4 linked regions of the Tamandua tetradactyla genome follow. The protein of the gene in region 4 purifies or fractionates together with the protein of the main gene of each other region. This does not show direct contact. Links are inferred from orthologs where the notes say so. Each region holds a gene or a part of one and is shown on either strand. Other genes may lie near its edges.

The links.
Region 1: the proteins of BCL7A (region 4) and DPF2 purify together in Homo sapiens (affinity purification with mass spectrometry; 3 studies listed by BioGRID and IntAct, counting the BioPlex papers as one, with this or other methods). This does not show direct contact. The link is inferred for Tamandua tetradactyla from reciprocal best matches to the Homo sapiens genes BCL7A and DPF2.
Region 2: the proteins of BCL7A (region 4) and PHF10 purify together in Homo sapiens (affinity purification with mass spectrometry; 3 studies listed by BioGRID and IntAct, counting the BioPlex papers as one, with this or other methods). This does not show direct contact. The link is inferred for Tamandua tetradactyla from reciprocal best matches to the Homo sapiens genes BCL7A and PHF10.
Region 3: the proteins of BCL7A (region 4) and DPF1 purify together in Homo sapiens (affinity purification with mass spectrometry; 3 studies listed by BioGRID and IntAct, counting the BioPlex papers as one, with this or other methods). This does not show direct contact. The link is inferred for Tamandua tetradactyla from reciprocal best matches to the Homo sapiens genes BCL7A and DPF1.

What each region holds. Positions count from the first base shown.
Region 1 is NC_135335.1:9,220,127-9,227,675, reverse strand, and holds the start of DPF2 (zinc finger protein ubi-d4), read left to right. Parts: upstream 1-4,532; 5' UTR 4,533-4,626; coding exon 4,627-4,658; intron 4,659-7,549. UniProt on the Homo sapiens protein: Plays an active role in transcriptional regulation by binding modified histones H3 and H4. Is a negative regulator of myeloid differentiation of hematopoietic progenitor cells. Might also have a role in the development and maturation of lymphoid cells.
Region 2 is NC_135337.1:73,934,984-73,942,094, forward strand, and holds the start of PHF10 (PHD finger protein 10), read right to left. Parts: upstream 3,017-7,111; 5' UTR 3,002-3,016; coding exon 2,909-3,001; intron 1,868-2,908; exon of another isoform or gene 1,858-1,867; coding exon of another isoform or gene 1,765-1,857; intron 1-1,764. UniProt on the Homo sapiens protein: Involved in transcription activity regulation by chromatin remodeling. Belongs to the neural progenitors-specific chromatin remodeling complex (npBAF complex) and is required for the proliferation of neural progenitors.
Region 3 is NC_135342.1:25,754,734-25,761,978, reverse strand, and holds the start of DPF1 (zinc finger protein neuro-d4), read right to left. Parts: upstream 3,002-7,245; 5' UTR 2,939-3,001; coding exon 2,910-2,938; intron 1,553-2,909; coding exon 1,209-1,552; intron 1-1,208. UniProt on the Homo sapiens protein: May have an important role in developing neurons by participating in regulation of cell survival, possibly as a neurospecific transcription factor. Belongs to the neuron-specific chromatin remodeling complex (nBAF complex).
Region 4 is NC_135331.1:9,905,301-9,912,145, reverse strand, and holds the start of BCL7A (B-cell CLL/lymphoma 7 protein family member A), read left to right. Parts: upstream 1-3,837; 5' UTR 3,838-4,024; coding exon 4,025-4,116; intron 4,117-6,845.

The sequences.
Region 1 (7,549 bases), on a different chromosome or scaffold from region 4:
GCAGGTGAGCCTTGGGGATAAGGTGGGCAGGCTCTGGAAGACACCTGGTCCATCCCCATGCCAGGCAGGTGGTGGGGATCGATTGGGGGAGACCCAAGGGTAACAAAAGTATGCCCCAGGCTTTGTGCAGGGGTTTAAGGGCTTCTCCAGCTCAAAGGACCTGGGTAGTGCAGGAGGGGCTGCAGGGCTGCGGGTCTGATGGCTGATCGGAGGTGCCAGCTCATCAGCAGCTGCCTAGTGAGTGGCCACAGCATCCTTGGTGTGGCTCCAGGTGCTGGGGACTCAAGACAGACCCAGTCCACTCGAGGCTCACACTCGAGTGGGGCAGAAGGAGAATAACTTTGTCAACAAGAGAGGTGATTTTCAACAAGAGGGACCACCATGGAGGAAGCCCTGTGATCAGAAAGGCTGAAGATGGTGCTGGCACATTAAGGATGGGAGGTGATTTGGGGTGAGCCCCGAGGGTGACTGGTTGGCTTAGGCTCCAGGATAGACAAAGGCACCGGGATGAAGGGCAGAAGAGCTGTCATGGGGTGAAAAGAGCATGCCTGGGCCTCTGGATGTCACCTGGAATCTGGCCCAGGCTGTGAGTCTCAGTTTCCCCATCTGTAAAATGGAGTCCATGATATCCACTTCACAGGGTTGGTGGGAAGAGTACAAATGATGTCTATTAATTGCCACATGAAAGGTCTTCAAAAATGGTTTGGGGGTGGAAAGGCAGGACTTTGAAGCTGGAGAAACAGGTTTGCATCAACTTATAGGAGTACAGCTTGTAAGGCTAAAGCTGAGGTACTGGGGAACTGCAGAAGGACTTTAAGCAAGAAAGACACACGATCAGACCCACACAGGCCCAAAGATGAGAGAGGAGGAAATCGTTGCAAGCCGGCTGGGCTGGGCCGTGGGGAAGGGAGGGGTGCTAAGGCGCGGCTTGGTGTTCGGAGGCCAGGGCAGGTCTCCACTGGACCCTTTCTATTCTCAGGCCGTTCTCTCCATCCTGTGACCCTGCAAATCCCAGTCCCCCACCCACCCACCCCAGCCTTTCTGGCCTCCAGAAAAAGCTGTGTGGACCTTATTTCCAAATAAGGTCACATTCACAGGTACTGAGGGGATAGGACCTCAACATAACTTTTTGGGAGACACAATTCAATGTGTCCTCTTCTGTCTTGGGAGAGGAAGACAAGAAAAAAGGACATTGTCCTAAGGTCTTCACCCAGCTGGATGGCAGCACCTTACCCTGGACCTGAGCCAGAGTAGTCGTGGAAGCAAGGGGCATGCTTGCCCTGGATTCCCTGGGACCTCTCCCCACCCACCCTGCATCAGGCAGCAGCAACCCTGGGGAACCCCTTGGGGCTGCCCTATCAGGGTGGAGAAAGGTAAGGGACCTGCAGCAGCTGATGCACTGAAAGGATGTTTGCTTATATCAAGGGAGCCAGGGAGAGGGAGGAAAAACAGCCTTCCCTCTTCAGCATATCTCATAGGGTTCAGGTACCATGTTCCACAAATACACACAAAAACGGATTTCAGAACTAAGAAGAGAAGATGTCGTTGGAAAGCCAAAAAAAGAGAAATGTCCCTACAATCCACTGTTCTGAATGTTCAACATGTCCTTATTCGAGTTACCCTTCAAAAAGAGAAATAACATATCTAGCCTACCTAATATAATGCAGTTATCCCTATCTCCGTAAAAACACTGTCACTCGTTTGTTTGTTGGATATGGAATGTGTGTAAATAAAATTCGTTTTTAAAATACATTCGTTCTTTTTCCAAAGGGAGAAACTCAAAGTCTGGTCAATTATCACAGCCCCTTCCAAGTCCAGGATTTCTAGGCAATATGCCTTCTTCCTTCACTCGTCCCTTATCAGCCCATCTCAATATCTTGCAAATTATGAAACTACATTGTAAGATGAATTAATACCAAGACAAAGTGGGGGAAAGGGAGAAAAAATCTGGAATTAGAATATGTTTAAATAAAATACTTGTTGCATCAAGAGAAGAAATACATGTACAAGTTATGGACTTTTTCTACCACAAAGCTGTAGCCACCCAGTCCACGAACTCTTTATCCTCCATCAGCATCTTGGCCGTCAGGGTCCTTTACCAGCGATGTGTCTCCGAACTTCATTTTGAAGTAATCTGAGCTCTTGGTGGATTTCCCTGTAGAGAGTTGACTTTTCCCCAGAACATTTAGTTTTGAAACATTGAAAATAGATTCACGAACATTCCTATACCTTTATCTAGATTGGCCAGTTATTGCCATTTTGCTACGACTATTTTAACACTCTGGCCATCAGTGGGGACCCTCTTTACTTTCTTGCCTGGTGGCACTGAGAATGACCCATCGGCAGTCTCAGCTTCTAGGTTAGTGGAATCGTTATTGCACCCTCTGGTGGAAGCATTTCTCCCTTGGGTCAAAATCTGACTCTAAATCAGCCAGAGCCCAAAGTTGGAGGAACAGGAAACAGACATTGTGCAAAAGGATCATTAGTTGAGACTGCAAGGGGATGAGTCCCACTTCTGCTCTTTGGTTCCCATACCCACATATTCTGCCTGTAGGAGAAGCACTATATTCTGTGTTCAGAGATATGACATTTCTTAAAAGGATCCTAAAAGTACTGAAAGTCATTGATGCTGGGCTCAGAAACCGGCTTTCCCATGATGTAGAACTAGCCTACTAATTATTACTCATATTTGTAATTTAAACTTTTAATTGAAATATGCATAGAGAGGAGTGCACAAATCTTGTGCAGATCAATGATTTTTTACAAAGTCAACAAACCCATGTAAAGAAAAAGGACATTAGCAGCCTCTCACAGCCACCTCGTACCCGCTTCCCAGTTATCATCTGTCCAAAGATAACCACTCTTCTGACTTCTGGCCCCACAGTCAGTTTATCTGATTTCTTGTGTAACTATGTGAATGAAATCATATAGTTTGTCTTCTTGGAATCTGGCTTCTTTTGTTCAACATTAAGTTTTTACTATTCCCTCACGTTGTATAGCAGCAGCTTGTCTTTTCCATTGATGTTTAATCCATTCTACTACTGTTGGTGGATATTTGGGTTGTTTCCAGTTTGGGGCTATTATGGAGACTACTGCTGTGAACATTCTTGTCTTTTGGTGTATACATCTAGGAATAGAATTGCTGGATCATAGGTATGCTGAAGCTGTGAGTTTAACTTTAGTGCTAGCATACTTTCGACTCCTGTGTTGGAGTCACTTTTGATGCCCCTTGTCCCCACAATCGTTTGGATCTCAGAGGTAAAAGAGTGCACCGGTGTTGCCTTGGGGTTTTTCTTCCAAGGTGTGACAGCCATTCTGCAAATTCTGGTGCTGCTGCAGAGAACAGCATGATAACTCACACTGTCATCTGGCCAAGTACCATTTTAACACACAGTGATGGCAGAATGCAGCCTGATTCTGAAATAGTAAAAGGGGTGGGGGGTGGTAAGTGCATCTTGGCATTGATAAGATATATCGGAAAAATAATGGGGACCAAGGAGCAAGCCCTGGGGAGTGTGATGGTTATAGGTGGGCCACAGAGCTGGCAAAAGACGCCAAAGGGACTGTCGGACAGCCGTGAGCGTGTGATGTTTCAGACTGGAGAAGCGTTCGAAAAAGGAGGAAATGGTCAATGGTGACACCAGACTGCTAGGTGGATGAGGACAGGAAACAGCCCTCCAAATCTGTCGCGATGGATGTCACAGTGACTTTGTGAAGAGCCGTTTCAGGGGCCTGGTGGGTACAAAACTTTCATTAAACCAGCCAGAAGAGAGCCATGGAAATAAAACAGCAGAGATGGGGGAATAAGGGATTATTTGCTTTGAAGGGATGAAAAGAAAGGGAGTGATAAGGGAAGCAAACATGGGCTTAAGGAAGAGCTTTTGATTTTTTTTTTTTAAATAAGGGGACATAGAGCCATGCTTGTACGCGGAGGAGAATGTTTCACAGTGCAGAAATGAATGGTACAGAAGAGTGAAGGATAATTACAGGAGGGAAGTTCTTCAGAGTCTATGTTGGAGGGAATAAAGTTTTTTGAGGAGTAGGTAGGGACTGGTCTTAGGACCGGGGAGAAGAGGTGGGTACCAGAGACTTTCGGTGGGAGGGTTTGGTGGCAGGAAGATGAGGTAACTTTTGTCAGACCCCAATATTCCGGCCAAACAAATGTCCAGCTCTGGATGTTAACTCCCTAAAATGGACACACGTTTGTGGGCAAGAGCGGACTGTGAATGTTCTTATTTTCAGTTAGCTGCCCACCAAGCTCTGACCTAGGGCAAAGGGTTAAACATGAGGTTAAAGGTCGGCTTCGGGGAAAGACGTAGGTGCTCCCTACAGCCCTTTCTCGGGAGGGGTCTAAATGGAAGAGGCGCGGCTGGGCTGGAGCAGGAGCAGCGGGGCGCGCGCCCGTCTCCCGTCGCGCCTGCGCGTTGGCTCCCTTCGGCTCCCTCACACTGTTTCTCCCCAGCCTGGGCGAAGTTCATTCCCCCTCGCTCGTTCTCGGGCGCGCGCGCGCGCCTGGCCAGCGCCTGCGCAAAAGAACGGAGAAACTCGCCCCCACCCCGAGCGTGCCCGGCGCCTGCGCGCTGCGGGCTCCCGGGCCTCCCCTCCTGAAGAAGAGGAGCAGGGAAGATGGCGGCTGTGGTGGAAAATGTAGTGAAGCTGTGAGTGGTCGTTTCTTTCTCCCCTAGATCGGGAGGTCTTGTAAGGGGCTTGGGAGTGGAGGCGGTGTGGGGAGGGGATGAGGCGGAGAGAGAAATATGCCTGGGAAGGCCATGTTGCTACTCCTGGCGGGGGAGGGCAACAGAAGACTCCGGAGAAGACGTTGCGCTTCTTTGGAAACTTGGGAGGCCCTGTGGGGGGCACACGGGAGCCCCTTACGGCGGAGTCTCTGTGGGGCTGTGTGGACTGAGCGCTCCTTCAGGGCTGACGTAGGCGCCCTTGCAGCCTACGAGAGGTCCGCAGGCTGAGGCTCTCTCCCCGGGTCGCCTCCGTCCGGAGGGGCTGGGCCGAGGCCCGGGCGGCCCAGGCGACGGTCCGGAGCCCTGGAGTTGAGCCGCTTCCCCGCGACTCCCAGTCGCTGCCCGCAGCCGGCCCCCGAGCAACAGGCTCCGGAGCCGCTGAAGGGGAAAAGGGCCGTGGGGCTGTTTGATTCTAACAGCCCCATAACGTCGGGGTACCTTGGGTGTCTGCTACCCAGGACTTAAGATGGTAGTGGGAAGAATTTGTTGGAAAGCAGAAATGAAAGAACTTCAGAGGAGCTGGCCTTTGTGCTGGCCATTCCCAGCCATCAACAAACAAACAAACAAACGGGAACTGGACGGGAGCAGTCCAGGACGACTTTATAGCCTGAAGGGACATCTGGGTCGCCAGTCTTCTCCTATGCTGTACCATTGTGCTGGTCAGTTTTCGAACAGAATTAAAGTTGATGGTTGGGAGAGAAATGGAGAATGGCCTGTTGGTTGCTTCCTGTGAGTTAAAGATGCTTTGGGGCTTGATTAATCCAACCTCCTTCCTGAAGAAAGGATTCTGAATGAGGTTAGAAATGTCTTAATGCCCCGTGGGCCGGTAGGCAAGCTGTTTTTAATGGATAATTTGGGCTTGGTGCAGGAGTTGGAAAATTGAGAGGCATCCACCTGTCCAGCAAGCCGTTTAGATTTTGAGAACTATTCTAAGTTTAGGTTTGGGAACTATTCTAAAGGACTGACAGCTTCTCTGTCTTTGTCATGGGCTAAGCCCCACATTTCCCAAGAGCCTTTTTAAAGGATATGTTGCTTCTCCCCAATGCCTGGAGCTTTTCTTCTCCCCCCTGCCTGGAGTTTCCCACTTCCATTAAGCTAAGTGCCTTCTCCTCTTGTGGTTCTTTTTTTTTTTTTTTTTTTTTTTGACTTGCTTTCTGCTTTATCCTGCTACCTCTTTCAGCCACCCCTCCTCCCAACACATTATCTTTCTCTCTGATCTGCCCACTCTAGTTTCCCTGCTCTCTCTTCAGGCTGACATTTTCCTCAATTTAGCAATGACAATGTTGATCTGCCATTTATATAGTTATCCTTCCTGACTCAGACGTTCTGTCTTTGTTTCTCTGCCCTTCTCATTGTTGACTCCCCCACTCCCATTCTAAGGGAAGATGTTATACAGATTTCCCGCTTCCCAAGAGTCAAAGCGGCCACCTTGGAAATCTTGCTGTGCCGAAGGAATGTCATGCTTGCCTAGGTTTTGAGAGTTGTAGGTAATGAGGGTCTTTGTGTTGGAAAACTTTCTTCAGGGAGACAGGGTTGCCAATTATTTCCTGTGTTGTCAGAAGGTAGTAGCAAATAGAGCATGACTTCTCATTTTTCTTTAAAGACCTGTAGAGATTGTGAGGGTCACCAGCCACTGATTCCTGAGTATGGATAATAAGAAACCCACTTTCCCCTCCTCAGTTCTAGCTGCAGAAGGCTGCAGACCACAGTTAATACGTTTCCCCCGGCACCTCCTCTTTAAGAGTAGGTGTCCATTCTTCCTGTCCCATTCTCACCCTGCAAAGAGTTGCTCTTCTGGCACTTCTCTTGATCATGTGTGTCCTGTCTTTTGACACCTGAGGTTATATCCAGCCAGGTATTTTCTTGCTTGCATCTTATTCTTGAGAGAATTTTCCTATTTGTGAATTCTCTGTCCATCCTAAATGGTCTCAGGATTGAAACAGTCTTTAAGGAATCTTACCAAAGAGAAGCCAAGATAAAATGATAGTATTAAAAAGCTGTAGCTGCTGACAGATTTTGAAACGGAATTAAGTAACAAAATCTGGGAAATTCTGTTTGCTTGGAATTTCTTGCTACAGGAGCCCTGAGTTCTTAGAAGCTCTCTTTCTCCCTTTCTTGCTTGCTCTTCATTAGATCCTCCCTGCCCCTTAAATATTTCATTCTCAGCCCTCATACCCCCTTTGACAGTTTACCCCACCCTTTGAAATACCACTTAACTCACAAGAGCTTTTACAGAACATCTCTCATCCATTCCTCAGAAACCATTTCTAGCCTCCTTGCTCTGACTTTGCAGCCCTCAGCCGGTCTGCCCTTCCTTCCATTTGGCTTCCAAGTGTCAGTATCAATTCCCATCAGCAGAAACAAAGGAGCTGCTGCACTCAGCCTTGTTTATCCAATTTCCCTCTGTGGTGAGGACGTGGCTGCCTCCTAAAGGCAAGCAAATGTGAGCCTGCTCCTTTCTCACCATTCTCCAACACAAGGTTTGTGCCTACCTCAAATTATGGTAATTATAGCTTATTGAATCAAGCCAGGCTGTACTTCTGGGGTCGCTGTCTGTGTGTGTGGTATGTATCTTTTTCAGCTGCTGGGCACACACTAAGCTGTGCTGTATTTTCCTGTTGCACTGCACTCAATGAAAGCCCCCATCAGATTCCAGAACAGAGTTTGCTGGGGTAGCTAGACTTATGGACATAAGCAATAGAGACTTGGTCTGTCTAGCTTCTCATACTAGGAGTCCCCTCTCACAGGATCCTGATATGTCAAAGCTTATCTAGTCTACCCCCCGCACCCCCTGGTCTATAGACTAGAAACAT
Region 2 (7,111 bases), on a different chromosome or scaffold from region 4:
ATGCTAATGTTCCAAGAAATAATCATGATGATGAATATGCAACTATGTGATGATATTGTGAATTACTGATTATATATGTAGAACCGAATGATCAAAAATTAAAATTAAAAAAAAAGAAAGACAAGACCTAAATAAAAAAATAATAAAGACTCCGAAATGTACTTAATGCAGACCTTTGTGTTTCAGAGTCACAGGTGGTTCCCTCCTCCAGAGTGAAGGCTTCTGTGTGCCCACCTGGGGACATGCCTCCAGGAGGCACACTGTACACCCCAGGTGCTGGGAGCAGCCCCCACACCCAACAGGCTGAGAAAGGCATGTGGTCCAGTTACTTGCCCCGGTGGGACACGCAGGCCTACCTGCCCTGCAAACCAGGCTCCCACAGCTCTGCTTCCTGGGGGAAAGAGAGGCGCTTAGGCTTTGTTTCTCTTTCAGCATCTTCTAATTCCAACTCTTAAATTCTGAATTAAATTTTGAGATTTTTAAAAATCATTCCTCCCTTGTAACACTGTCACAATCGACTATACAAACTCTAGAAACACAAGTGTTCAAATTAATGACACTGTAATAAATTAAAAAAACAAAATGAAAAAACTCATGACATCGTACAGTTCATCCAAATTTTTCTCCACTCATCTTTTACTTCAAAATTCTAAGTCCTTTTAACTGTAATGAAAACAATACAAACTACAAAAGTGAAAACATTTCACTAGAAATATTAGAATGGCTATTATTACTAATTTAGTTCTACTAAGTTTACTAACTGAACTGTCTGGCTTTTTTATAGTTGTTTACAATCATTTTTTAATAAAAGCTCAAGTATTTTGGAATATTTGTCAAATGAATTCTTTCCAAATATACCTATACTATCCTAAGCTAATATGGAAAAACTCTCCCCATTTACGAGGAAAGTTTTATTTCTACACAAAAGTAGAATTTTCCTTCCATTAGTCTGGGAAGCGGCTCAGTCTCCTCACACACAAACCCCTTCTCCTTCCTCCTGGCTTTCCTCCGGCTTCCCGCGGGGAAGGTCACCAAGGGTCAGGCCGAGCCCACCCCGCGGGGGAGTCACGAGGCTAGGCCGAGCCCACCAAGCGGGGAAGGTCACCAAGGGTCAGGCCGAGCCCACCGCCGCGAAAGTCTCTTCGTCTTTACCGGGTCGAGGTCACGCGGCCTTCCGGCCCGGAGCCGCGACACAAGCCGGGAAAGTACCCCCAAATGAGTGGACGGGGACCCCGCCCGAGCCTGGGGCGGAGGCGGGACTTGTATTCAGAGCTGCCGGCGACGCACTTCCTCCTGCTTCTCCGAGGCGGGAAGGGGCTCGGGACCTCAAACCCTCGGGGGCCGCTCCGTGGACTCCCCGCCTCTGAAGGGCACCGGCCCTGAGCCCCCCCCCCCCCCCGGCTCCCCGAGGACCCGCTTACTCTGAGGCCCCGGCTCCCTAAGAATCGCCTACTCTGAGGCCCCGGCTCCCCGAGGACCCTGGCCCTGAGACCCCTCAGTTCCCTGAGGACCCTCTTACTCTGAGGCCCCGGCTCTCCGAGAACCCCAGCTCTGAGGCCCCAAGGCTCTCTGAGGACCCCCGGCTCTGAGGACCCCAGCCCTGAGATCCCTGACAACAACCCCCAAATCCCTGGGCCCCCGGTTCTGACACCTCCTGACTCTCTGAGACCCCGGCCGCCAGGACGCGCACGGCCAGACCGCCGTTGGGACCGGCCCTGGGGCCCCCCTCCCCGTCCGACCTTCGCGGGCCCCGCCACTCCTCACCTTCGGGGACGGCGCTCCGGGGATGGCCGCGTCGCCGTCGCCCAGCCGCGGGGAGAGCACCGTCCCGGGGACCGCCGCCGCCGCCGCCGCCATCAGCCCGAGCCCCAGCCCCCCGCGCCGCCGCCGCCGCCGCCGCCGCCTAGTCCTGGCCGCGGCCGCCGCCGCCGCGCGGAGAGGCCGCCGCGGCGTCCGCTCCCCGGGCCCCGCCCCCTCCGCCCGCCCGCCGCCGCCTCCCGGAGGCCGGCCTCTGCCGCCGCCCCGGGCCGCCCCGCCGCCGCGCGCCCCGCGGCTCGGCGCGGCCACCGACACGGCCATGGTCGCCGCCAGCGCTGCGGCCGCCGCGGCCGCCGCGGCCGGCGCGGAGGAGCGGAGGGCAGCGCAGAGGCGCGGCGCGGCGCCGGAGCGGAATGGAGAGCGCGCAGCTCGGCCCCCTCCTCACGTCAGCCCTCTCCTCCCACCGCTCCTCTCCGCGCCCGCAGCCCGCGCCGCGCCCCGCCCCCGCCCCCGCCCCGCTCGCTCGCCTGGCTCCCACCTCTCCGCGCCGCCCACTCCGCGGGGTCTCCTCCGCCTCCAGCAGACCCCGGCTACCGATCGACCCCCCGGCCTCCTACAGACTCCTAGCTCCCCAAAGACCCCGGGCCTCCCAAAGACCCCCCCGGCCTCCCAAAGACCCCCTCGGTCTCCAGCAGAGCGCCGACCTCCAAAAGACCCTCCGGCTTCCCAAAGACCTCCCGGCCTGCCAAAGACGCCCGCCCCCGGCCCCAAAAGACCCCAGGTTTCCGGCAGAATCCCGGCCTCGCGGAGACCCCTCGGTCGGCCCCGAACCCCTCCCCGTGTCCTCGCCGCTGCACTCACCGCCTCCCGCGCCCCAGGCAGCCTCCCGCCCCCGGGGCCTTCTGCGCTCACGCTCGGGGGTTCTGGCGCCTGCCCCTTCTGGAGCGCCCCCGAGTCTGGGCTCTGCCGCCCCCCACGCGCTTTTCCAGGCGTGCGCCGGGTTCCGCCGCGGCGCGGGAATGGCCCTCGCCCGGGTCTTCGGCCCTGCCTTTGTTCTCCACTCGCGTCCTCATCGCCGCCAAGCTCCACGTGCACGTCGGACCACAGAATCACATCCCACTGAATGTGTGCTTTCCGATTCAGTCTTTACCTTCCTTTCATCAAAAAGTCTTTCCACATGGAACCCAAGGCAAGTCAAAAACCGTAAAATGTCAAAGTAGCTGAAATTCCACTGCTTGCACATGCTTTTGTGTGTTCACAGATGTGGTGTGCACCGCCGCCGCGGCCGTGTTAGCGAACGCGGGAGGAGGGCCCGGAGCTGCCAGGAGAACGCCCGCGGGGTCCGGGGACCCGGAGCTGAGGGGAGGAAGCCGCACAGGGCCAGTGGACCCGTAGCTGCCGGGAAAACGCCCACGGGGTCCGGGGATCGGGAGTTGCAGTGGAACGCCGCACCCGGCCCTGGGACACAGCTGCGGGGAGAACTCCTTACAGGGTCCTGTCACCACGTTGTGCTCCAGGAGCCTCGATCCATGCTGGCCTTCACGTTGGCGCTGCCTCCTGCTTGGGACCGGGCATTTAGGCCAAATTTGCTGATTTGTAAAATAGGGGCAATACAATCGGGTTTGTGAAGTGCACAGAGGAAGCGCCAAGAAAATGGCAGCTGTTGTATTTGAATTTAGTGTTAATCCAACTTCTCAGGGTTCACTAGGTCGCTTCTTTTATATGTTATACTATACAATAAAAAAGTTAATATTCAGTTATTTAGTTGTACTCTTCTTCCTTGGCTAGTCTATCTCTAGATGAAATGCAAATTTAAAACATCTCATTCCAAGTCAGCAGATAGTGATCTGGCCTTCGGTGTTCAAGGTAGACAGGGTTAAGAAGGCACCGTATGGTGACAGGCCCTGACCATGTGCTGCCTCAACACTAAAAGAATATGAGGCAATTGTTGTTAAAGGCCACTCAGGTGGGAGAAAATTTAATTGCAATTAGAAGAATTAAGATTTAAAAGTCAAGATAGAATTTTTAAAGTATCAAGAAATAGGTAAGACTTCAACTCAATAGTAATATGTTCAGTTGGAAGTGAAAATGAGGGTTCTAAACCCAGAAAAAGTTGAGAGATCAGCAAATATGAGGCATACTCAAGGTACCATCAGTTATTCTAGTTTGGCTAGAGAATAGAGTAAATGAAGGAGGGTTCTAGGAATTTGAGATGAAATATACAAAGAGGCATTACGATGTAATGGAGAAAATAAGCAATTTAGAGTTAAGACTGGTTTAAATCCCGGCTATTTGTTGTGTGATCATAGGTAAATTACCTAATGCCTCTGACCCGCCATTTCCTCATTTTTCAGATAAGAATAATAACACCCATTCAGTTATTCCACAAATATTTTATGGCACACTATGAACTGGGTTGGGTGATGGGATGTAAGGAAACAATTATTCATTAATACATCAAATACTTCCTTATTGTTCACTAAGTTAGGCCCTGAGTTATACACTGACAATACAGTGGTGAAGAAGAAAAACAGCCATAAAACTCCAGAAGACCACATAGAGAGAATATGTAAATTGAGGTTTGAAGAAGATCCAAGCCAAAGGAGGCCAGAGATCCTTGTGGAAGTTAAATAGAGAAGGAGGAGGAAGAAAACAGAGTGTGGGGTCTTGGAAGCAAAGAAGATAAATACTTCAGAAAGTGGAGCTGGTCAGCTATGTGTATCATCTGAGAAGTTGAATAAGATGAGGACAGAGAAATGTCCAGTGATTTGATCAACTTGAGGTCATTAGCAATCTTGACATGAGTTGTTTGAGTAGCGAGGTGGTGACAGAAGCTGGGCTGAAATCGACTGGAGAATGAATGGGAGGCTAGAAATTGGAGCCAGAATACAGGTAATTCTTCTGTAAAGTTTTATTGTCAAGAGCCATAGAGAAAGGGTTAGCTGGAGAGGTGTTGTTTTTTGTGTTTTTTAAGATGGGAGAAAATTCATAGCTGACAAGAATGACTCAACATAAAGGGGAAAGTCTTGGTGCAAGAGAGAAGAGATAGTTTACAGAAGGCAACTCTTGAGAAGGCAAGAAGGAATAGGATCATCCAGAACACAAGTGCTGGGACAAGCCTTTGATAGGAGAAGCACTAGTCATCCATTCTGTTACTGGAAGGAAGACAGAGAATGTTGCTGCAGATGCAAGTAGGTTCATAGGGTGGTGGAACCTCTGATAGCTTCCCTTATCTTAATGAGCTGAGGCTTCAACTGAAAGTGAGTAGTGGAGAGGCATATAGGAGATTTGAGGAGAGAGATCATGCAAAAGAGTGTCTCAGAGAGTGGGAAAGCAAATTTTCTAGGATGCCAGGCAGTGTGGCTTGACCCTTTGATGTTTGTGGTCATGGGATTTAAAGTGAAATCCCTCAGCCTGGTTGAGATATTCTCAGCCAACTTTAGCTGCTTGGATGTAGGCTTGGAAAAAGATAAAATGGCATATATCTAGGAATAGATTTCCCTTATTGAGGAAGGACAAAAGAATTTGGAGTGTGTGTATAAGGAAGTGATTATAAATATGGGCCATGGAATCTAAGCTGAAAAAGGACAAACAAACAAAAAGGATATTAAACAGTGAAATAGGCCAATGAATTGGGCATGTCAATGAGAATGAAGGTGGTGAGCTGGAAGGACAAGAGATAATTGTGTGACAATAACATACTTAAAATTAAGATTGTAGAGGTCATATTAATATCAGTGATAAAAACGTCTAGCATGTAAACCAAGAAATAGATGACCAAAGGGGAGTGAAGAAAAAGGTCACTGAAGGTGAGTCGGTCAAGGAATCGAAGCTAGGAAATCCTAGCTTTGCATGCTAGTCCAGGACTATAAAAATGGCCATGTAAATTGATACAGTGCCAAGAGAATATTGATCATCGAGGAAAATTGTTCTGTGGCCTTAAAAATTTACTGTCAAAACCTTAAAAATGCTCTGCTGATTATAAAGGTATAGGGAATGAAAAAATAAACTAATATTTAGTATACTGCAATCTGAAATATTAGAAACAGAATTGTTTTATTTCTTTATTTAAAAAACTGATCAAGAGTAGTTCAAACTGTGCTTGCCTTCTTCTCAATCTGTAACTTATGATATGATGAGTATCTTTTCTATGCCTTGACAAACTATCATACTCCTTTCTAAATTTGGATAAGCTTCCAACGTTTTATCCTTTGCATTCTCAGTGTCATGAAATATCTCGAAGGGTTCTTTGATGTGAAGTTTTCTTTTCTTTTTTTCTTTCTTTCTTTCTTTTCTTTTTTTAACCAGCAGCACTTCCTCTGAGACAACCACCTGCTTTAAATAATCTGTGGAATCTGGGGAGACATATCCAGCAACATCCTTATCCACATAGCAGCTTTACCAGAGGGCTTAAAATTAAACAATTCATCTCAACTTCTGATACAATGAAATCAGTCTTTATTGGCAGTAAAAGAAATTCAGTCTCTTTGCAATTACCATTTTCTTCCAATGTTTCAACTAAATTCAACACTTTGGCCTGAATGCTAGCCAAACTGATTGGGGGTTTTTGTTGTTTTTATTACATTCTTCAATCCACAGTAGAAGAAATGCTCCATTTTTAATAATAAATGGCTTTCTTTTCCTAGAGAAATTTAAACCAGAAGTTGTTGAAGCAGCTTATCTTATTTTATATTTATAGATTTGTAGGACTTTTTCTGTATTATTCCTATAATAATTTCATGCAGGCCTAGGTCTTGTCCTGTCTTAGCTTTGCTTCAGTCATTTTCAACTCTCTTAATAACATAAAATTTCAAAGTTTTTCAAGGTCAAAAGAGTTGCCTACCTGCCTTCTGGTTTTAAGGCATGAGGAACTACAGCGTTCACTCGGGAAGGCTGCATTGGGACCCTTCATAACAATCAGGTTGTTGCTAAGGAAAGAAACTCAGAATACAAGAGAGGCTGGGCATCTAGAGGAGTTTGCTGAACCACATAAAGAAGGTTCCATAAGCCACCATAAAAAGCTCAGAGAAGGGCAGGCCACGGTAGCTCAGCAGGCAAGAACGCTTGCCTGCCATGCCAGAGGACCCGGGCTTAGAGAAGCAGAGTCTGATCACAGGGTGTTTGGATTTGTGATAGTGGCTGAAGAAAACATTTATGTGGCATTTGCTATTATTGATCGTCATGGTTCTTAGAGGACAGCAGAAAATCAGTTCTGAAGTTATGGACCAGAATATTTAGTTTGACAGTAAGGTGTCTTCAGGGTGTATGCACCCCTTTTATATAGGCTGATAGTGAGGTGGAGCAGGGAAAGGGTTCTAGGACAGCAGGTACAGCCATAATAGCCTTTGTAGGG
Region 3 (7,245 bases), on a different chromosome or scaffold from region 4:
GGGGGGTCAAGTGGAGAAGTCAACCCTGGAGGACTCACATTGCACATGGCAGCAGGGAGCATGCTCTTTGTGGGAGGGAGGGAAGAGGCTTTCCCACACTCAACCAGCAACAGAAGCAGGGATTCAGCCACTCATCCTGGGAATGATGCCCAGACCCTGGGGAAGAGACAACCAACCAGACCTTCACACACACTCAAACACCCATGAGGAAATACACTCAAACTGGATACAGGGGAACATTCACAGGGGAGATACAGATCATCTGAGGTGGTTGGACTCACAAAGAGAGAGGTCTATACCTGAACCCTCAGATCCACCCAGATGCTTGGGAAAGATAGACCCAGACCCTTGGATATACCTGTCCACACATGGGAGACACATTCAGACCCTTGGAGACACTCTGAGACACCCAGAGATACTGTCCAACCCTCAGCTACACCCAGACCCATAGAGGGACACAACCAGTCCCTAGCATACACCTGGACAAGGGAAGAGAAATAGCCAGCACTCTGATATCCCTGGACACATTCAAGAAATGATAAGGCCAAATGCTCTGACAGACAAGACACACAGGCAGAAATACACCTTGTACTCCAGATACTAATGGGAAGAGATTCTCCCAGACACCCCAATATACCTAGACACACTCAGGAAGAGAAATGGATATGGATATTCTGATAGCCCAGACTCACACAAGGAGAAATAAAGCTTCTACTACACCTGAAAAGAGACGCCAACACTGATGGACTCTGCTACAAATGGAGAGTTACAACCGGCATTCTGACACACTCCAATATATCCAAGAGGTAATACAGACACCCCACCACATCAGGACACACCCAGGGAGATGGATAGTCCATCACACATAGGTACCTACCAGAAGAGATAGGGCCAGGCATCGGATACATCCCGGCTCACAAGGGAAGGGAGACAGGTCAGAAACTTAATAGACCTAGACACAGCGTAATAGAGACCACTGTGCCCTTAAATACACCAAGGCCCACTTAGGAGGAGATACAAGCAGAAGCTCAGACACTCAGGGAAAACTGTAGAATCTCTGGAATATGCCCAGACACACTTGGACAAAACACACAGCCCACCAGTCACTAGAAGGGACACAAAGCCAGAGGATCAGACACACACTGAGATCAACACACACTTAGCCTACACTAGGGGCCCCAGCAGGCACAAGGCACTGCTCCACCCACCAATTTTGTACTCGCAGGGCCGGAGTCTGGGGTCCTCAAGGATATTGAGTCTCCGTTTCTTCCTCCAGCAGCGGGCAGGGTACGTGTAGATCTGTCCCGGGGCCAGACCTGGAGTGAGGAGGGAGGTAAGAATGCGGCCAAGAAGCTGCGGCCCCGCCCCACCCCTGCCCACCCGGCGGGTACCAGGCCCGCGGTGGGTTTTCTCCATCCAGATGTAGCAGTTGTTCTGGGCCACGCCGGTCTGCGAATCAAGGAAGGGCAGGCGCAGGCTGCGCTCAGCGCACAGGCGGGCGTTGTAGCTGCGGCAGTGCTCGATGGCCTCTCGGTAAAAGTCCTCGCCTAGGCTGCGGGGCGGGTGAGCGGGCGGGCAGCTGTCAGCAAGGGTAGGTGCGCTTGGTCACGCAGCACCCCTCCTCCAGCCCGGCCTTCCCAGAGTCAGGGATGGGTGGACCCATCCCTCCTATTTCACCTCTTCCCTCTTTGCCAGTCCTGGACCCTCAGTGGAGGGAGCAGACAGAACCAAGGGGTCAAGGGTTCCCCAATATGGGACTCAAGAAGGCCTCCAACTAAGAAGTAGATGCACACAATACAGAAACATACAAAAACACACCAGGACCCATCCAAAGATAACACAGATAAATCACACATAGACACACAGGATTCACACACAAAGACACATCCCAAGACTCACAAAGGAGAAACAGACAAATCTCACACATATACTGAAAAACACAAATATCCCGTCAAATACTGTTGAAAGAGATAGATCACACATATATCCATGCACAAACACACATCACATATCCAAAGATGCACAATACAAACAAATCACCCATTCAGAAATCACATAAGAACACACAACATGGAAACACCCATCACAACACACACACACACATGCACTCCAGAACACACACAGATACACAAATGTCAAAAAGACAACAGTAGAAAGAAACCAACCACATATGCACTTACACATATATCCAAAGACATAGCACAAACAAATCACACGGAATCATATACAGACATATAATACAAAGAAATCACACAGATTCACACAGGGTACACACACACACATTCAAAAAGACACACAACATAGAAACCAACATCTCAAATACCACATATCCAAACACACAAAGATACATACATATATATTAACACAGAAACAAACTACCCATCTTCACACAAAACTCTACAACACAAATACACATATGCCTACTTATCCAAAAACAGAGAACAGAGACAAATCCTGCATAGTTCCTAAGAACATGTGTACATGCTCAAAGACCCAAATATCAAAAGATAGTGCAAAATAAAATAAATCACACACATATTAAACACACACACGCAAATAAGTCACACACACTGCATTCCAAGACAAAGGTAGTGTGGACTTCAGTCGAGTTTACTAAGGCCCCCACCCCCCGGGCCATTTCACCTTCTCCCGGACCCCTGCTGGGTAGGGATGATGAACCCCTTCCCCAACGAAGACCCCGAGGATCCCCAACCCTCCACCCCGCCAGGAGCGGCGCCTAGGACACCTTCTTGCCGGAGGCATACAGTCACACACGCACCCCCGCGCAGCCCCGCACCCAGTGACAGCCCCCTAGACACCACAGCGGCCCCACCCCCGGCCGCCACACATACACACCCGCCCGCGCAGACCCGCCCGCGCGCCCTCCCCCCTCCCCCGGCCCGCACCACCTCAGGGGGCCGGGGATGACTGTGGCCATCTTGCTCCCCGGGTCCTGCCCCCAGCAGGTCCCCGCCGGGTCGGTCCTCCCAGCGCTCGGGCGGGCGCCGAGGCAGCCCATCCATTCATTCCCGGGGGCGGGAGGACGGGGGCCCCAACCAATCACCGCGGCGGGGCGGGCCGGCCCGGGCCATGCTGGGAGTGGTAGTCCCGGGCCTGGGGGCCCCGCGGACCCGGCGGCCTCAAGGGAGGGGGCGAAGCGCAGGGGGCCCGCGAGGCGGGGCCCGAGGGAGCGCCCACCGTCCCTCACACACGCTCACTCGCCCCACATCCTAGACGTACATGCACACACTCACACAAGCACACCTGGACTCACCCACGCCCACACCCCGCAGTTTTCACATTCATACACTCACAGGTGCCCACCCAGACATAAACACACTCACACACCCGCCCACACCGCTTCACACAGACCCCTTCATAGAGACTCACAGCTGCACTCACATTTACACTCACGCACACACTTCAATGCCAAGAGACTTAGAGACACCTTACAGGTTCCCACACAGACTTCCCACCAACGTGTGCACACACGCGGCTCGGCGACCTCCACGCCCCAGTGCCTACTCCCCTCGGGACTGACTCTGCCCCAGCCACTCTCCCAGCCGCCCCACCCTCCTCAACCCTGACACTGGTCAGGTGCTGTGGCCACCTCTGGGTTCTGCCACTTGCTTACCACTTGGCCATCAGCAAGTAACTTCATCTTTTGGGGCCTCAGTTTCCTCCTGTGTAAAATGGGGATGATGCCTCATAGAATTGTTGTGAGAATGAAGTAAGTAAATATGGGTAAAGTGTTTTAAAAGGGGCCCGACACATAGTAAGGGCACAATAAATTCATCCATTCCACAGAGGATCTGATATGCACTGAGGGAAAATGGCTAATGGTTATTAGAATGGATTCTGCCTGGCACACAGGCGATGCTCAACATCCATTTGCTGAGCGACTACATTTACTGAGCACTATGTGCCAGACACTGTGCCCTATACACATGGCATTTAATCCCCAGAGCAGCCTTCTAGGGAAATAACATTCTTATCCCCATTTTCCAGGCAAGGAACCTGAAGCACAGGGAGGTGAGGTACGTGCCCGAGATAACACAACCTTCGGCCCCTGGCTCACCCAGGTGCCATCCCCAAGTAGTTTATCCCCATCTTTCTCCCACTGTCACCCACATTGACACCACCCTAAGGGAATCCCCAGAGAATGAGCTGGCCCACCAAGTCACGCACACTCATCCAGTCTCTACACACACACACACACACACACACACACACACACACACACATACCACCTGAGCCTCCCTGTCCAGAGTTTGCATCCAGGATTCAGAGGCTACATGGATGGACAGTTTCATTCACGCCCACAATGCCCTCCTCGGCCAGGGAGCCCTACTGCAAATGGGGAGAGGGGGGCACGCTAGTCTTCATCAATTTTGTCACTCAGTGACTCACACACATACACACACACACGCCCTTAAAGAACCCCTCAGGTTCTCCATACACAGCTCACTCCTCTACCCTGAGACCCCCCCTCATCCTCCTAACTCCGGGGAGAGGGAGTCTCTGCTTCTATCTGGCCAAGAGTAGGTGGCAAGGTGGGTGAGAAGAGTGAGTGAGGGACACTGGCATGCCATCCCTAAGGTCAGGGCTTCCTGGCCCCTGTGGTGGCCATGCCATAACTCACCCCTGCCGACCCACTGGCTCACACTCAGAGGGAGCCTTTGCCACCTTCTCTCACCTGCTTCACCCTACAGATCCCTAGCACACCCTCTTGCACTTGCTTTCTACACTAGGAGCCACACACACCCCAACTCACCCCTTCCCCACTCCACAACCCTCACATCAATTTGAGCAAGCGAAGCCTGAGTGTAGACACCCCATCCCCTCCTTAGAGGCCCAGGTCCACCCACAGATCCAGGCTGACACTGGGAGAGGGTCTCCCTCCCCTTCCTCACCTCTAGTCGCTTCTGCAATCCCCTCCCCCCCACACTCTCCTACACACAGGAACCCCCAGCCCCACCCCCAGTGCCCACAGTACAAAGCAATATTGATAAAGCATGATACTACCACCTACCACCGTTATCTACCTTTAGTCAGGGCCAGACTCAACTCAGTGCTTTATAAATGTCACCTATGTAAGCCTCATAACAGCCCCATGAAGTAAAAAGAACTAGTATTGCACCCAATTGTCAGATGATAAAACTGAGGCTCTGAGGGAATAGAAAATTAGTGGCTCAAACTGGGGTTTGAGTGTAAACAGTCAGAACTGCTGAGAGCTGCATTCCCCAGCCTCCTGCTTGAGAGGGATCTGACTCCCACATTCCTCAGGAACATGTGGGCCCCTACCATGGCCTCTGCAGATCCCTGGTAAGGCCAGAGCAAAATGGGCGCTAACACTGCCAACCCCCTGGTCTCCAGACCCTGCAGTGAGCTGCCCTTGGGTGAGGGGCATCCCAATACCTGTGTATCTACCAACCCTCATAAGAACCCCCTTTCCCAGCCAGTTTGAGGGTCTCCCTCTTAGGAAAAGCATGTGTGTGTGTGTGTGTGTGTGTGTGTGTGTGTGTGTGTATGTGGTGTGTGCCACTGAGGGTAAGAGGGAAGCAGATGGGTGTCACAATCACACTCCCCTTCAGGATGACTTGAACCTCATACACCCCCTCCAAAACCACCGCAAAGCCACCGGTGTTGGCGCGTGCTGTAAGTCCCCGCCTCCCCCCCCATCACCACCACACACACACCCTTCTCTCCCAACACCTCCCCCCTCCCGCCCTCAGAAGCCAGCAAAGACTGGGGGGCCTCTGGTACAGCCATCAGGCGCGACCCTTCGCGGGGTTGCCCCCACTCCCCTCCTTCCCTCAGCACTCGATGCTCAAGGTCAAGGCTGCGAATGCACGGAGTAGAGGGAAGGGTGGGGGAGGTCGCCCTGGCCCCTTTGTGCGGCGGCGCCGCTACTCGCCCTCCGCCTCCTCCCCCAGGCCAGGGAGGGGAGGGGGGAGGGGAGCGCCGCGCTCGCCAGCCGGGTAGAGAGAGCGGGAGCGGCCGCGCGCCTGTCACTCGGAGCCCGCTGTCAAGGCCTGGGGCAAGGGGGTGGTGGAGAGCTGGGACCCGTAGTCCAGGATCTCAACGAGCGAGCGAGAGATGGAGAGAGGGAAGGAGAGAGAAGGATAGAGCCGGGGATGGCAAGGAGGGGGAAGGGGACCGGGTAGCTACGCTCAAACCCAGGCGTCCTGGCTCCCGACCACTGGGCCCAGGTAGAAGCTAACGCTCGGACCGGGAGAAAGGGAGGGAATCCTCGGAGGATGGGGTTCCAGAGCCATCGGTCCCCAGAAGGATGGGAGATGCTCTTGTTAGAGGTATATGGTCGGGGATTGCGGGGTGGGGGGTGGGGGGATCCTACGGTCTGAGACGACCGTGGTGTCTTGGACCAAAGCTGGAGATCCGAAGAGGAAAGAGTGGAGACAGCAGGAATATAACCCGGACACCCGACATCTCAGCTCCCACCCTAAAGACGCTCGGGCCCGGGTCCCCAGAGAAAGAGGGGAGAAAGAGAGAAAGGTGCCTGACTGAGGGAAAGAAGGATGGTGGGGATCCCGAGATCGAGGTAGGTCCTCCCAACTCTATACGGAGGCAGGCCCAGCGCCGTCAGTGAGATAGAGGAGAGGACGCTCCAAACCCCCTGGGTGGGGAAACTCGGCCTCGGCCGCCCCCCAGCTGGTGCCACATTCCTTCACAGACAGCGACAAAGAAGAGGCACCCCTGCGGCCCTGGAGGGTTTCCCTCCCCCAACCCTAGGAGGTGATACGGGGTGGAGGACCCCCAGGGGCGAGAGGGTGTGCTGGGCATCCCCATTCAACTACCAGCTGCGCGCTGCTTCCCCTCCCCAACGAGGGCGGGGGAGGGGCTCCTGGGTGTGTTCGGGGTCGGGGGGCCCGCGGAGACACTCACGACTTGAGCGGGTTCTGAATGGCGGTGGCCATGGCCCGCTCAGCGGGGCCGCCTCCGGCCCGGGGCGCCGCTGCCGCCGCGCGCGGGCCCAGCCCGGCCTGCGCCGCCCGCTCTGCCGCCCAGCGCGCTACGATTTCATTCATTCTTGGGGCTGCAGCGCGAGCGGAGCGGGGCGGGACGGGGGCGGGGCTCGGCCAATCCCCGCGCCTTCCGGCGCACGACGGGTCGTGGAGTCTAGGGGCGCGCAGCGGGGCCCGGGGGCGCCCCTGCAGGGACTACACGTCCCAGGGGGCGCCGGGAAGACCGCACGTCCATTGGCTGCTGGGGATACAGGGCGGG
Region 4 (6,845 bases):
GCAAACTGGCCAGGCACTGCTGGATGCTAGCTTCCCTTTCTGTAAAAGGAAGGAGGTGGCCTCAGTGATCTGTTCCTGGTGCACTTCATGTAGGGATTTGAGGGTTCCCATCCAAGTTTCCCCCCTTTGCTAGGCCTTGCTAACGACCTGCTCCCCAAACACCAGGGCGCCTCTGTTTATAAGACGATGAGCTGCTTCTGTTACAAGTTGCTAGGTGAGGACCAGCGCTGCAGAGAAATGCCAAAGCTGGGACTGCATTTTCCTCACAATTACGCATCTCTGTTCCCGAGATGGAAACCTCCTCCTCCCCGCAGCCACCGACAAGCCTCCATGCGGGAGGAACGGTTACCAGCGGGAGCAGAGTTGAATTTAACAAGCTAAGCAAAAGGAGTAGTTTGATTTCAGGCTCTAGCATGTGTCATGACCATGCCAGAGATCATCAGGTCCTCTATTTGATAAATCTCTTCCAGTACATAGCGCTTCTTATGTGCCCAGCGTGGTTCCAAGGGCTTGACAAAAACTAACGTGTTTAGTCCTTGTAAGTGTCATCATCCCCATGAGAAAGAGGAGGCATAGAGAGGAGACGTTTGGCACAAGAACTAAATAACTCAGCTTCTGTAACCCCAGGACCACTTCTTTAACATGTCTACAATAATGGCTAATATTCCTAGAGAGCTGGACTTCCAGTTTCTGGTAATGGGCTATTCAGATTAACTCTCTAGCTGAAAGCAACTGAAAATGCTAGAAGACGGTACTTTTAAAAACATCTTCAAATCCACAAGGTGATGACAAGACAATAAAACTGAAGGTCAAAAGAACCATAAAAGATAATCCTGTGAGGAAGCCTTTTTACCTAGCATGCTTAAACTTGAATGTGAAAGGTCTCATGGGGCAAGGGGGGCCAGAAATCAAAGTCCAAGGCCCACACTATGTGGGAGACCCTACCCACAATAACTTGGGACCCCACTGGGCTCTATCAGTAGAATGCTGGTACAGGTTTAATAACCAGCTCTGGATGGGGGAGGGGAAGGAGGGCCTGCTTTTGGTGTTTGCCAATTTTCCTGGTGTAAATCCCACTATCTTGGCTGATTTCAAGCCATCAGCATGAGGTCACTGAACAGAGAATTGGGAAGCAAGGCCTGCAAGCCAGCCACAGCGCATCATGTACTCTGCCCTCAGGGTACGGTAGGCAAACCTGTCTTACACAATCATGCAACTCGTATGTGCATCACCTGGGTGGTCCAGGGAACCACAAGTCCTGCACTTGGATTAAGGTGCTCCTAAACCAGCAGTGCCCTCCGGAGCCTGGCAGAAGCAAATGTAAATCAGCTCTGGAGGACGATACCTTCGTCCCAGGCCTCAAATTATCCCTATAAACAATTTTTTTAAACGACACTATCCAGCAGTCAGAGAGAAACAAGCAGACCACAGGAAATAGGATACCATGGGCAAGATCCAGCAGAAACAGAACCACCAATACTACAAGTATTAGAATTTTCAGACTTTGAAATAGTCTGTGAAACAGCTGTACTTTTGCTGAAAGAAACACAAGTTTTAAAATATCTGCACGGGACAGGAAATTATAAAAAGTCACATACTAGATTTGTAAAAGAATATCTGTGGAAAGCTTTACGGCTTGATGGGGAATCAAAAACGCAAATACCTTCACGGGCCAGGAAGGTAACACAAAGGAGCAAAAGCTGGTGAGTTGGAGAGTTTTTGTCTGAAAGACACCAGGGCTCCTCAACCGACTGTTGCCCATGTGATAATGGGGTCCCAGTGTTGCCAGATGTGCTATTTCTAGAGAAGCTGGATATTGGGATATATTTCTTTGTTGTTTGTTTTTGCACGGGCAGGCACCAGGAATTGAACCCAGGTCTCCGGCATGGCAGGCGAGAACTCTGCCTGCTGAGCCAACGTGGCTTGCCCTGTTTGTTTTTAATGTGATAAAATACCGAACATAAAATGGACCACTGTAACCTTTTAAAGTATACAATCCAGTGGCATTAAGTACCTTTACAATGTTATACAGCCATCACCACCATCTCTCATTCCAGAATTTTATCATCACCCCAAAAGGAAACCCTATACCCATTAAGCAGTTGTTCCTCTATCCAGCCCCCACAACCACGAATCTGCTTTAGGTCTCTATGGGTTTGCCAATGCTAGATATTATTTCACATAAATGGAATCATATGATATTTGTGACCTTCTTAGCTTAATGTTTTCAAGGTTCATCATGTTGTAACATGCATCAGAATTTCATTCCTTTTTCTGGCTGAGTAACATGCTATTGTGTAAATTTACAACATTTCATTTATCCATTCATCGATTACTTGTGTTTTTGACATATCTTCCTATTTTGTAATTCAGATATATATTTTTCAAGTTCTTTGTGGTCCAAGGTGCACATTTGCTAGCCAGATCCAGAGGGCCGGCAGGCTTATATGACCTGCTGTTACACATTTTCCCACTTAAGTCTCGGAATGATTCTCTCAGGTACATGCTCTTATCTTCAGTTTTTGCACACTAGGAACTTGAGTTTCAGAAAGATAACATGGAATGCTTGGGACACAGCCCGGCAGCCTCCCACTGCAAACTTCAAGGGAATAGTGCCTGATACTCAAGACGAGCAGACCCGAGATGTAGATTATGGCTGTGACCTTGGATTTAACCTCTCTGGGACTCAGTTTCCCCACCTGTCAAATGACTCACATTGGGCTAGTTTCTAAGGTACTTGGGTTGCTGACAGCCTAGTGCTCACCTTTCCAGGCCTACCTCAGGCCTGACTTAGAGGTGGTCAAGTCTAACCAAACAGTTGCAGCTAAACACAAAGTCATGGCACACAGATTCCTCCACTGAGCTCAGTCCTGGGGCCCACTTAGGAGGAAACAACCCCGGAGAGTCTCAGCATAGATGGGACCAGTCTATTTTACCTGCCAGAGCATCTATACTAGGACCAGCACCTGGTCTGAGCCCTGTACTTAAATCAGGGGGGGCAATTAGTGGCTTCCATTTAAATTACGTTTCGCCGACAGAAACCCCAGTAAGGGAATCCCTCATGTTACTTAGGGCTAGGGCAATACTGTTCTCCAGGTGGAAAGGAAGGAAAGGACCCTATTAAAATGCTGATAACAAGTGAGATTTTCCTGCGCAGAAACGTATCTAATAAGGTCGAATGTTCCCCGTGGCCCGCATCGACGACCCTGGTTTTCCAAAAGAGCGAAGCGTGGAGGAGCCAAGGGTTTTTAGCCCGTGAATTTAAACCGGGAAGAGGGCCAGCAGCGATCCAGAGTCCTCAACTCTCCGAGAGCAACTCGCTTCCCGAATCGCCGCCTTCAACTCTGAGAAGTCCAGAGCCCCACAGGAAACTTGCATTATTGCAACCGCTGCAGCAGACCCGGGGCAGGGGAAAGGCCGCCGAGCTGGCTCCTAAGGAACGCGCGCCCTCCGCGCCCGGCGGCCCCGCCAGCCTGCCCTCCCGGGGGGACCCCACGGCCCCCGAGGCCTCCGAGTGAGTGCCCGCCCGCCTCCTCCCTGCACGTGCCCTGCGGGAGCCGGGGGCCGCCCCTCGCAGCCTCCCGGTGTGGGCGTGGAGGAGTGTGGGGTGTGTGTATGTGTGTGTGTGTGTGTGCGCGCGCGCGTGTTGGTTGGGGTCGGGGTCCCGGGCGCCTTCTTGGGCTGGGGGCAGAGCTTCCAGGGCGCGAGGCCGGAGGCTGGGGGCTGCTGCCCGGCGGCGGGCGCCCGGAGGCCGCACTGCTGGCGGCCACGGCGGCGGCGGCGCTGCTCCCCCTGCTCGGTGCAGCTGCCGCCCGGCGCTTGCGCACTGGGCCCCGGGCGCGCGGCGGCACCAGGCTTTGTGTGTGTGTGTGTGTATGTGTGCGTGAGGGTGTGTGTGTGTATATGTGTGTGTGTGTATGTGTGTGAGTGTCTGTGTGAGTGAGCGAGCGAGAGTGTGGCCGCCGCGGAGCGCGAGCAGGACCGGCGGGCGCGCTCCCCTAGCCTCTCTCTCCCCGCCAGCACCATGTCGGGCAGGTCGGTTCGAGCCGAGACCAGGAGCCGGGCCAAAGATGATATCAAGAGGGTCATGGCGGCTATCGAGAAAGTGCGCAAATGGTAAGCTGAGGCGCCTCTGCGCCCGGGCGCCGCGGCGGCGAGCAACCCCGAGCCCGGCTCCCGCGAGCCCCGGCGGGGCGACGGCGCCGCTCCCGGCCCGCGCCCCCCGCCCCCGGCCTCCCACCCGGCCGCGGCGCCCGGAGTTGGAGAGGGCGGGCGGGCGGCGCGCGAGCCGGGTCACCTGCGCCCGGCGGGGGCCGCGGCCACTGCCCAGGTGCGCTCGCGCCGGGCGCCCACCTGGCGCGACGGCATCAGCCTGGAGGCGGCGGGGCGCTCCGGGCCGGGCGGCGGGGACCCGCGGGCACAGCCCCCCGCCGCGGCGCTCGGCTCCCGGGAGCGGGGGAAACGCGAGGCCGGCCCCAGAAGCCATTTCGTTTTGTGCAAGTCACATGAAAGCGGCTTCCCGCGCGCCGGGGCTGAGATGCCGCCGGGCGAGGGGCGCGAGCTCCATTGTGCCGGCACTGAGCGGGCCCGGGGCCGCCGCCGTCTCCTCCCCGCGCGCCCCGGGCGGCGCCGCGCCGGGTCCCCGCGCGCCCTCGGCCCCGCCGGGCCTCGCCGCCGCGCTCCGACCTGCCGGCCTCCCGCCCCGGCGCGCTGGCTCCCCCGCTCCCCGCCTCCCAGGCCCCGGCGCCCTCGAGTCTGCGGAGTTTGCAGAGCGCGAGCCGTTTAAATTTAGCGCTTTGGGCTGCCTGGTGAGAGGGCTCCGGGCGAAGGAGGGAAGCCGGGGGCGAGCGCCGGGAGCGAGAGCTGCCCGCCGGGCCCCAGGGCGCAGGGGCCCCCGCCTCCCACCCTGCCCTGCCCGGCGCGCACGGGGACTCGGGCTCGGGCGCGGCCCGGGGCGGGCCGAGGGAAGATTTTGGGTCAAAAACCGGTCCTGGGCCGCGTCTGCTTTTCTAAAAACAGAAGCTCATGTTTGTTTTGCGGAGAGAGCCGTTGTTTTTGTTCTCAGCTCTCCGCGCGGGGGGCCGGGGATGTTTGGTGTTGGGCGGACGTGGTTTTCGGGCTCAAATTAGATCCAGCCTGGCGTGGCCTCTTAATTAACAGGATTTGAACGTTTCCACGGCCTGGTGGGGATGTGACTCCGAAACGGCCGGAGGGCCAGGCCCGAGGCCCCGGAAAGATCACCGCCTGGGTCAGACTTGTCCGAAAACTCCCGGCTCCCTGATTTCAACTTTTTTTTTTTTCTTTTTTTCCCACGGCTTCTCCAGGGTCCGGGAGGGAGAGGAACAGCTGCGACGCGGTCCCTGAGTGTCACTGCCCGCGGGCTTCTCCTGACCCTCTATTTAAAACCTTGAAACTGGGCAGGCCCCCGTGGCAGGCTATGTTTATGTTTGGGGGTGTAACTTCTTGGTAAGCCTCAGCCTCTGAAAACCACTGGGGGCGAGTCTCCCGGTCCGGCGGTGTCACAAGTTAGCTGTCCGTTCTGAGTCAAACCCAACAAAAAGAGGCAAGAGGGAAATCAATAAAGCCCACGTGCTCCGGGGCCTCCTATGAAAGGGCTGTCTGCGGATGGCCGGATGCCCGGCAGTGGGCTGGGTTTGGCTCCAGTGGGACAAAGCATTTTCAGAACCGTGAGAAGGGGAGGCTTTGCAAAGTTCAGATCCAAGTCCGGAGCTCCCCTGCCGTGCAGGGCGCCCCATGCCCCAGTGGAGCCATTTAAAAATGGCAGAAACAACTGCAGGCCAAGATACACATATGTAGGTGGGGAAAACCCAGCTACCCCCTCAACCGTGGGTCCCAGTGGGGAAGGCTAGAGTTGGCCCCTTGCAGAGACAGAACTGGTATCCGGCCCTGTGTCCCTTCTGTCACCTTCCTGAGTGTTAGGAAGGAGCCTGGGGCAAGCTGGCCCTCTCTAATCACAGAGGCCTGGTGGGGGCTCCCTACCCCAGGTTGGTGCATGGCTGGGGGCCCTGCACCCTGCCGGCTGTTCTGCAGAGAGGGCAGATGGAGAGGTGAGGGGGGGGGTCTAATGGGTGGGGGGACAGAGCCTTTGATCCTCGTGGGCCCAGGGACTGGCCAGGCCTGTGACTAGAGGGGCTGCTGGACATCTGTCCCTCCCCTTCCCTCCCTGTGTCCTAGGAAGTCTCATGCGTTGAGATCTGACCGTTGAGCTCCCATTCTACTTCCTTGCTTTGACCTTGGACAAATCCTGCATCTTCTCTAAACCATTGCAGAAAGAGGGTCCCCGGGCTGCCTGGCTTTCGCTTAGGGTTGTTGAGGACCAAATAAAGCCACGTCTCCAAAAGCCCCATTCTGCCTAGGACACGAGATGTTATGATGAGGCGGGTTCCGTAGGTCCTGGCCTTGCTGACTGGGTTGTGTGTTGGCCCCCTCCTGAGCATAAAAGGCTCTCCCTGAGAAGCTGCATCGCCCCTTCTCTGTGCCTTTAGAATGGGTCTCCACTTTGCGGTGGAAGCTTTGGGGTGTTTATTTATTAACTGCATGGCTGTCAGCCGTGCATTTCACTGCTGGCTGGGCCTTAGGTTTGCCAGTCAGCAAAAAAAAAGCGTAGGATGTCCAGTGAAATTTGAATTTCAGATCAACAATGATTTAAAAAAATTTTTTTTTAGAATAAGTATGTCCCTTGCAATTTTGGGGTCATACTTACACTAAGTTATTTCTTGTTTACCTGTAACTCTGTTGGGTGTCTCCTGCCCTTTCTGAGGGAGAATCCCTGTATCTGGCATAGCATTTGGCCTGTAAGTGTGGGGTGGGGTTTCTCCTCAGCC